2 linked regions of the Schizosaccharomyces pombe genome follow. Changing the gene in region 1 together with any one later gene gives a genetic interaction. Each region holds a gene or a part of one and is shown on either strand. Other genes may lie near its edges.

Region 1 (5,854 bases):
TGTGTAATACGGATTACCCTTACTTGGTTAACACTTGCTTCAATGGCACCCAATACCCCGTTAATTGTAACTCTGCTTTGCGCACTCCATTTGGTGGTGCTACTTGCCGTAATATTGGCTATAAAGGTCAAGGTATTTGTGTATATACCAACGACAGTCGTATCCCTGTTGCCGATGACCATGTTATTGTTAACACTACTTCCAAAATAAATCCAAACATTACCAGTGTCTTTAACTACCGTGACAATGCCTTCTTGTGGTAAAGGATTTCGCATAGATTCCCTTTTTCTTTAAAAAAAATCTAAAATAAGGAACATGGGCACTTGTTCCTTACTTGCATGTCTTCCTTGCTAACATTAAATTATCACTTACCTCCTTCCTTTTTCATGCATTCCTTGTCCGTTTACCCTCAACTTCACCAAAGTGATAGGCGTCCAGTAAGATTTTTATCTTTTGGCTTTTGCCTCTACTCTTTTCTCAACATGTCTTTATTTGCACTCTTATATTTGCGTGAGGTATTTACAGATTTGTATCTTTTTTTTTTTTTTTGCATGCATTTTTTGAACGAGCAAATTAAGTGGGACATACTGGTATGTTCCACCATTAAAGCGCATATATTTTTGCACCAAAATAACTTACTAAACTACATTGCGTATTTTCCTGTGATCATGGCACTTTACCTTGATATGTTTGATCTTCAAACAATCAATCATAAGCTTGACTGTTCATTTCTATTTTGATTCCTTTTAATTCTTCATCCCTTTCTTTGTTAAATTAATTTCCTTTTGTTTGGCACAGGTTGTTTAAACTTAGATTAAGATATATCTCTAGTAAATACTTTACTCATGAATTTATCCAAATACTTCTTTACATTCTTTATCATTTTATGCAAGGAATTTTCTGTAAGTGTTGTGCTTATAAATTTTTTTCTGCTGTAAAATCGTATATTCTTCAAACTTAAAGGTGAGATTAGCATGTTTACACTCGTAAAAATCCGTCATCCGGATCTGGTTTTTTGTTATGACACTTTGATGGATGACTCCCAGAGTTTCATGGTATCAAACAACTCTTTGACCTTTTGATAAATTGCTTTAGTGCACTGCTCGTGAACTGAAGCCGCATTTTTAATTGCAGAATTTTGTATGTTCGTAGGACAGTCAGGAGAATATATGGATTTCAGTAATTTCGTAAAAGGCAACATACACTCTGGAATGTATATTGAAAGAAACTGAAAAAGAGATTCTTTCGTGCCTTGATACTTAGACCATGACATAATAGTTGTTTTTGTTACTATAGAACGATCTTTCAATTCGACAGATGATTCAAAGTCTGATTGAGCTTGAAAGAGATGTAAAACGTAAGAAAAAGTTTTCGAATAATAATTTAAAGAGTTATCAGTAAATAATATCCGTAAAGCACCTATTACTTGGCATTGGAATTGTAAATCAGGGTACACATCCTCAAATTCACTAACGCTCGCAGAATCCAATGTAAAAGTTATACTCTTAGATAAAGACCTGCTCAACCCATTTTTTTCTTTTTCCATAAAAATGAATTTTTTCAATCGAGAAATAAAATTATATCTGTCATCAGAGTTCAAGTCCTCAGCCAACTCATTACGGTCAGATTTATCAAGCCTTCTTGATTTTAACAGAGAAATGACATTATCAGAGAATTCATAATTTTGAAAAAGAAAAGTGGAATGAAAAAAATTTAAAAGATCAAACACCTGAAAATCGTTTTTTAAAACTTTATATGTCGAACGTAAGAAACTGAGAATAAAAGATTGTATTGGCTCAGCAATACAGCAGCAAACATTCAAGTTAAGCGGACAGACGTTGCGCACATCATCTGTAAATTTAAGTTGTAATAAATTATCGTTGAAATCTGGAGTCATGTTCATTTTAGCAAGCAGCGTTTCAAATTCTTCACTGTCATTATTGACGGAAGTTTGTTCCAAATTACCAAAAGAAAGCGAAGAAAAGTTGCAGCGCTCCTCTATTACACAAGCTTGATTTATGTCGTTGAAAGAATATGCGAACCGAATGTTCAAAGGGTTAATAAATTCTTTGTTGTTTTTATTAAATATTTCTTTTTGTTCCCTTATTAATGACAAAAATTGAATACACTGTTCAATGCTTACACAAAGTTCAGAAGGAAAAAAACGGGGAAGTGATAAGAACAATGAAGAATCAATGTGACCATACGCACAAGAAACTTTTAAAGCAAGCTCAAGCCTTTTGAAGTAGGGATTTGAGCAATATATCAAGCACTGTAGGGCAATGGGGTAAGATATGGTATTCTGACATGAACGCGCATAATCAAAAAGAAAATCTAACAAGGAATCTCCTTTTAGGTTTTGAGCCGATTTTATTAAGAAGTGTGAAATTAACTCAAAGAATGAAGAAAAAGAATTAACAAAGTTACTTAAACCAATCAGACCGAATCTACGGAACTCATAAAGACGAAGCCAACGCTGAAACTCCTTTCGATACTGCAAGACACCATTCACAATGAAATTTGATAAATAAAAAGAAATGTTGGTCTTGTATAAAGAGAATTCATTTAAAGCTTTTTTTATTAAACCCCCAATTGCAGAAAATTTCTGGACGATACTAGCAAAACATTCATCGGACATTCCTGAAACGGAGATGGTCGGATCGAGTTCAAATGTGCTTGAGGTTTTGTTCCATGGAAACACTGTGCTTTCAAATCCTTGTGGTAAACCAGCCACGCAATTGAAAATAGTTGCTAAAGGGTAAACTTGCAGTGCAGAAAATAATGGTTTCGGACTCCAATCCTGATTATGAAGAAAATAATCATATACCCGAGAAGGCGCTTCAGATATGAATGGAGATCTAGCTTCTAAATTTTTAAAATTTTCTCCATCCCAGCTAGGGCATGTTAGCAGAACTTTGTTTTCGACAGATAAATCGCTGGGTGATGAATCTGTAAGATAAGAGGGGGACACTGAGGATTTAGCTCTTTTTCTTTCTGAAGTAATTTCCTTAGATGCGCTTATGAGTTTGGAATTGGATGATGTCTCACACCCAGGCACAGCGGGTGTTAGTTGTTGATTTGAAATATCGAGAATGACATCTTTTCCCAACAGATCATCGTTTACTTGAAATGAAAAGTTTTGAAAGTATTCCGAGGAGTCAAATAACTTCCTCTTCAATCCTTCTTTTCCCTCAAATTTCGAAAGCTGCTCGACAAAATCAGAATCAAATGAATTTGGCGTAAGGTCGAAAACGTGGTTGCCGAACCATAACAAGTCGTTTTTCATAATTCCATCCATTCCATTTTTATTTCAAAATCATCTATTTTAGTGGTACATTTCAAGATCCAACTCCTTTACTGGAAAACACTCTTGTTATGAATTACTAAAATTTGGCAATATGTGTGTAGTTAATGTATAATGTTGTTAACGTAGCGAATTAAGATGACTTCTTATCTAGAACAGTCAGGATTAGAAGATGTGAATGAAGTATGCGTCTCTTAAACTAAGAAATGGAACGTTAGTAATTGATCCTAACATTGAAACCAATTCAAAAATCCGTACTCTCGTGGCCGTACAACAGAAAATACTGACATGGAGTTAAAGGTATCCAGGATGAATAAAACAGAATGATAAATTGAACAAAAACTATCAGTTGTTAAGGAATTACTATTGCACAATTGCATAATCTATCCAAAACGACATTCCAGCATTTAATTTTAAGAGAGTGCTATGTGGATAAAACGTATCCTTTATGGAACTATAAGAGCTCTTTTATGCTTCTCTGGTTAGTACATTTAGATTTTTTTAAAAAAAAGTTTATTGTACTATTCGTGATATTATGGTTACAGTATACCTCGCTGGCTTGATCGTTTATTGTCCAGAGAGCTCGCATGCGAGTCAAAGCTGAATGAATGGTATCTTCATATAAAAAAAGTCTATTTGGAGAATTTTGGATCCTTCAACAAATTTATTTGAAGTACTTAATGTTCTTTCTTAATTTTTCTCATAAAACCATGTGTCAAGCAATGAAGGATTTAAATATTGTTGGCAAAAGAAATGTTGCAATCACTAATTCAAGTTTGTTTAGAAGCTTGCATTATATAGTTATCGACTTTTCTTTTGCCTTTGGAAAGGGATATCTTCATTATTCTTAATGAAACAGTATAAAATTCTTTTAAACACTAGACTAGATAAGTTGTTTTAATTCTTTCTCAAAAAACATAAACGACAGTCTAACTCTAAAATAATCGGGATTTTTGTGACACCAATGGTATAAAAATGATTAATTAAAAATTTTTGCGGATAACACAAGACTTTGTACTTTGTATTACTGGAAAATTTAGCTAATTAAAAAGGAGAACACATAAGCAATGTATTCTGGAGGTCAAAATCAATTGATTTTAACCTCCAAATATCAGCTTGATGTACCTTTTTTGCCATGACGATAATACATACAGGACTTTATAAAAATCAGCTTGGATTAAATGACAACCTACTTATCTAGAAATAGAATTTAAAATAAACATTCAGTACCCCCAAATCCTTTTTATAAATTAAGACTAACTATCACTATCAGATTCCAAGTTTATACTTGGCAAAGAGATATTGTCTTCCTCCTCATCATCTTCTCCGTTTCCTTCCACATTAATAGAAGTCGTTTTCTCATCTACGACATCCGTTGTTTTTTCAAAAGTTTCGACGACTGAAGAAGTTGTGTTTCCATTTTCATCACCATTTATGTTTTCAATTTGGCTTGAAACTACACTAGTAGGTCGGTCAACAAAGTCAACGTCTATAGCAGTAAATTTGGTTTCAGTGTCCTGAGAATTGTTTAATGCAACATTTGTAGTCTCCTCAACCTCAACATCTCCATGCAACAGTGAAACAGTTGTTTCCTTGTTTTCCGAAACAATGTTAATGTGATCAGTCCCGTGATTAATAGTTGAAGGTTGAGAAGAGTTGATTTCACTACCTTCTTCATTTCTGTCACCCTCATTAGAAAGAACATTAGACATAGTCAGCTCTGATTCGCTTCTTTTGTTCTCGGAGGTAGCTGTAGAATTATTCTGTAAGCCTGTATCTGTAGATGCAAAAGACTCTTTGATCCCTTCAATTTCAGTGGAATCTGTAATCGACTCTGTTTCAAAGGGAGGATTTGATGGAGCCAAAATACTACTTTCTTTATACTCTGATTGAGAATCCACCTGGGGTGGAGAAATATGCGATTGGTTTTCAAGAGAAACAGGCTCAAATCTTGACTCAAACGTATTTTCAAATTCGCTTGGTGAAAGATGTTTTTGCAAAGGTGGGAACCTAGGATGAATCAGCGATTCTATTGTTTGCATCGATGACCTTGCGTGTGAAGCGACCAGAGGATCTGGATGTACAAGCCCTAATGGACCAGAAATTATACGTATTGCATGAGGTACTATCACTGCTTGTGAATCTCCCGGTGATAAAATTGACGCAAGGAGTAAATTATGCATAGATATCAAAACTGTTGAGGTAGGGTTAGACAAAGATATCTGCAAGGTGCAAAGATCTATTTTGGTCCGTAATAAACGTGGTAATGCTATTGAATGAGTCAAAATGGATGCTAAAAAAGAAAAACAACAATCCATGACATCTGAATCATAAAGCTGATGAGACTCTTCCGAACTCATAAGTGTATCTCCTGCTTGACTTTCAGAAAGTGTTTTTCGCTTTTTTTGAGAATGCCCACGATTTTTAGAGAACTCTATGGATTTGGATGCTAAACCTTTAGAGGAATTAGCAAGATATTCTAATACCAGCGTTACAATATTTTCGTATTTTGAAAGAGGGACATTCATATGTGTCACATCCAAAAACTTT
Region 2 (4,024 bases), on another chromosome or scaffold:
CTATTATATGCTTCGTTTTTGCTCAAAAGCTACGCCTCCCACAGTTGCAAACTGGTAAAATCCTTCGTTGGGAATACGAGTTTGTTATCCACGGTCATGGTCTTTCCGAAAAAACCAGCAACTCCTTGGCTCGTACCGGCAGCCCATACTTACTTGGAAGGGATTCTTTTACTCAAAACCCTAATGCAGTAGCCTTCATGAGTGGTCTTAACAATATGGAACTTGCTAACACCGATCATGAATGGTCCGTGGGTTCATCATCACCTGAGCCGTTACCTAGTCCTGCTGCTGATTTGATTGATCGTCCTGCCAGTACCACTTCCTCCATCTTTGATGCAAGTCATCTTCCTTAAATCAACGTGCTTTAAGAATATATTTCCAAAAGCTACATGATACATTGACTAGAATCGGTTTGATTCATAGTGGTATTGGAATGATGTTGTTCATTGTGTTTTTTAACTGTTAATCTGACATCCATTGAGTCATTCTTTACAATTTGTAAAATTAATTTGTATCACTAATTTTGAAGGAAGCTATTTTGGTATTAATACCGCTTTTGGTCTCCACTTCCTTTTCGAAACTCTTAACAGCGATTAGGCCGGGTATCTTCCAGTGTGATGTATAGGTATTTGTCGTTTTTTTATCATTTCCGTTAATAAAGAACTCTTTTATCCAGCTTCTTACACTGTCAACTGTTGTGAAAGGAACACATTTAGAATTTCATTTTCCTTATTTGTTGTGATTTAAATCGTTTGACATAATTTTAAATTTGGTTTGAAATGTGTGTGAGAAGGCTTGTTTTATTCATTTAGTTTATTGCTTGTTTGCACGAAAATCCAGAACGGAGCATTAATGTAATCCTTTTTTATTCTGTAAAGCGTTTTTATACAAATGTTGGTTATACGTTTCTAAAATAAGAATATTGTTATAATAATATAGTTTTTTCTATCATTTGTTACACACACTAAAGAGACATTAAGGATAAGCAAATGTGTTAAAATGATAATATATTTTGGAAACATTTATAAAGAAATTAAGCAGCTTTGACTAACTACATTTTTGTTTTTTTCCTAAGCAAAACTGTATAGTTATACACGCGAGCTGTATTCACTTCCATTGTAGTGACTTGAGCTCTCAAAAATTCCAAATCTTCTTTACATGCTTTCAATGTTTCTTCCGCTGAGTTCAGCTTCTGCGTTAACAATGCTTCTGCCTCTTCAACCGTATACTCAAGCATAACATTTGCACCTAACCAAAGGTAGACATTGTCTTTAGCTTCTACTTCTGCTTTTGCATTTAATGTGTCATTTAGTTCATATGTAACAGTAAAAGAGTCACCTTGTCGCTCTTTCAAGAACTGAACACTCTGTAACGTTTTTCGAATGTCAGGAATTTTGTCATCCAAACTAGCAACTCTCCTGACCACACTAGTCTCCATGAATTTGTACTTTCTAAATTACATTATATTAATATGAAATAACATATATATCCTTACGCAATTGCTTCTTGGAACTTTTCGAGATGACCTTGAGCTTCCTCCATAGATAACTCTTTGAACTCAAAAAATTGAGCGGGTGGAATTCCCCGTGGATTTCTATTCATATTAGTTATTTTTTTAAAAAGTATTATACTTCAGTACATACGAAGAACTCATTCTCTATGCAACAGAAAAAGGGGCGGTTGTTTTGAACAGGTAACTGAGTGTCAAAGGTAATAGGTATAGTAATGTTACAAATTTGGAAATGCGTATTATTCCCTAATTACCAAATCTAACCAAGTCTGAACTACACAGTCTAAATAGGCAGAATATTTTGGTTATACACATGTAATTGATAATTGTTGCAAAATCTATTCATCCAATTTACCAACCATAACCTGTATAGAACCATTGCGCAGCGTAATGCATTTTCATTTGAAAGTACTAGCGAGAGTTTTATATCACTAAACTTTTTAAACGTTTTTTAATTACTTGAAATCACATATTTTAGTTAAACATATTCTGTTTGGAAAAGGCAGTTTTGTTGAAAAAATTGTATTTGAAAGACAACTTTATAGAAGGATAGTAAGAAAGTTAATTCCTAAATGGTCTATATTGAACCAAAAATAGTTACATTAAAAAACGAGAGTCATTAAAAGAGCAGATAAATTTGACATTAGAACCACTTTGGAACATTAATCGAAATTTAATCAATCATACAAACAAAAAAATTACAAAGTGCTCGTTTAGGTCACTGATCAAGAAGGGCGGACGGTATAAAGTAATTTGAAGTAAAATCAAAAATGTCAGCGAATAATTTAGAGGGATCCTCCGTGGTTTCAGGTTCTGCATCTTGCATAGGCGGTTCATTTGGGTGTAACATACTGTTGATGAATCTTAAAACATATCCAAATCGGACAGCCATGCCATCATCAAATGTTACGATATCAACCATTCTTTCTTGTACATATAATGTTATGTCACCTAAGTCAGAAGGCACCTCAAAGCCTTTATCACGGCAAAACGCAGCCAACATGAGGGCGTGGATAATCTCCAACAACGCTACCAAAAGCCAGCCTCGTTTTTCTAATATAGTGATTTGAGATATGAGTAGCCTCACGCACTGAATACAACTTTCACCCAAATTACCAATAATAGTTTCTTCATCTTCTAAAATCCCTGAATCCAGGGTAATAAAACATTGATACAAATTCACACGTGCAGTCCAGAACACCATTTTCAAAAATATGTATCGAAATTGAATATCTTCATTAGAAGGGTCATAAAACTTTGCTTCTATATCTACCAAAATAAGCGAAAGCTGTGATTCATAACTCTCCAGTTTATCAATGAATTTACTAACGGTGAGTGAATGAACAGATTTATAGATTGAAACACCACAATCAAGTAACCTTCCAAGAAGTAGATGAAAATTGTAGCTAATATCGTCATTAAAAAAACAACGAAGCGGCTTGAGACGACCATAAGTGTCGTGTTGAATGAATGGCGGACGGTACTTTAATACACATTCCAAACCATCAATTTCACAGAGAGCAAACCACAAATCTGACGTATTTTTTCCTATTTTTTCCGTAACTTGGAAGAGGGGAGTTACTAAGGTTGATACGTGAATGCTTCTACATAAGTCAGTATTCACTCCTCTTATTCTTGTGCGAAATTTTGTTGCATACGCTCGCAAAAGCAGCATCTGAATTATTTCTTTATCAGGCAAGCATAAATGTTTATATTCCTGCTCGGATATCTCGTTAAGTTTTAAATTTATAAGACGGCTGGATTCCAATGGAGTAATCCCCGCCGAATTATAAAAATTGAGAATAACATCAGGCAAATCGCTCAGCTGGATAGTTGCAGCAATAATTGGTAATAAAGTGAAGGCATCTTCGTACGAAAAAGATTCTGGTGATTCAATGTTGTTTAAGCTTTTTTCTACTGTCTCTTGATCATAAATAGGACAGACAACATTTAGTGTTTTAAAAAATAAATTAACAATTTTCTGTGATATGCAAAATGGCGGTAAAAGGTTCGCCAAACTCTCAACAACCACATTATCTTTATAGCTACTGTAAGCCTGAATTGAAAACGAAGGTCGAGATGAGCACATGTCGCTATCCTTTCTATATTTAATCAACTCAAAGAGTGATCTCCATCCATAAAAATCAAATTTCTCATTTTTTTTCGGATTAATATCGGGAGAAACTTCCAGTGTGGTTTCAGAATCAGAAGCATTTTCGCTATGACTAGGATGTGGTCCGACGTTCATTTTATCAATGGTATCATCTGCGTAAGTGCAAACCTCGTTCCTTTCTTTACATCGAGAGCAAGGCTGCTGACGGTCGCATTTGACCTTGCGGCGCCTACAAATTAAACATGATTTTGGGCTGCGTTTTCGAAATTTCTTTAAAGCTGGAGGAGAGGAAGACATTATTAGAAGTATTGATAACTTGATAATTTCCTTTCAAGCAATTGTAGTTGCCTCCGTATTTGAAGTGGAGGCACAAAATAAAACGAGGATCCTTCAAAACTTCC

The links. Genes that interact genetically often act in the same process or in processes that back each other up.
Region 2: mutations in alp16 (region 1) and pfd3 together harm fitness more than expected from each alone (negative genetic interaction), as found in Schizosaccharomyces pombe (2 studies listed by BioGRID).

Annotation. Positions count from the first base shown.
Region 1 is NC_003421.2:431,377-437,230, forward strand, and holds alp16 (gamma tubulin complex GCP6 subunit Alp16), read right to left. Parts: upstream 3,411-5,854; 5' UTR 3,299-3,410; coding exon 1,019-3,298; 3' UTR 888-1,018; downstream 1-887. Other genes in the region: SPOM_SPCC306.11 (uncharacterized protein), read left to right, coding at 1-263; ribosome biogenesis protein Rix1, read right to left, coding at 4,561-5,854. UniProt on the Schizosaccharomyces pombe protein: Component of the gamma tubule complex that is required for the regulation of both interphase microtubules and mitotic bipolar spindles.
Region 2 is NC_003424.3:599,832-603,855, forward strand, and holds pfd3 (prefoldin subunit Pfd3), read right to left. Parts: upstream 1,688-4,024; 5' UTR 1,655-1,687; coding exon 1,644-1,654; exon of another isoform or gene 1,595-1,643; coding exon 1,496-1,594; intron 1,452-1,495; coding exon 1,052-1,451; 3' UTR 995-1,051; downstream 1-994. Other genes in the region: inositol phosphorylceramide synthase Aur1, read left to right, coding at 1-353; SPOM_SPAC3H8.08C (transcription factor), read right to left, coding at 2,229-3,920.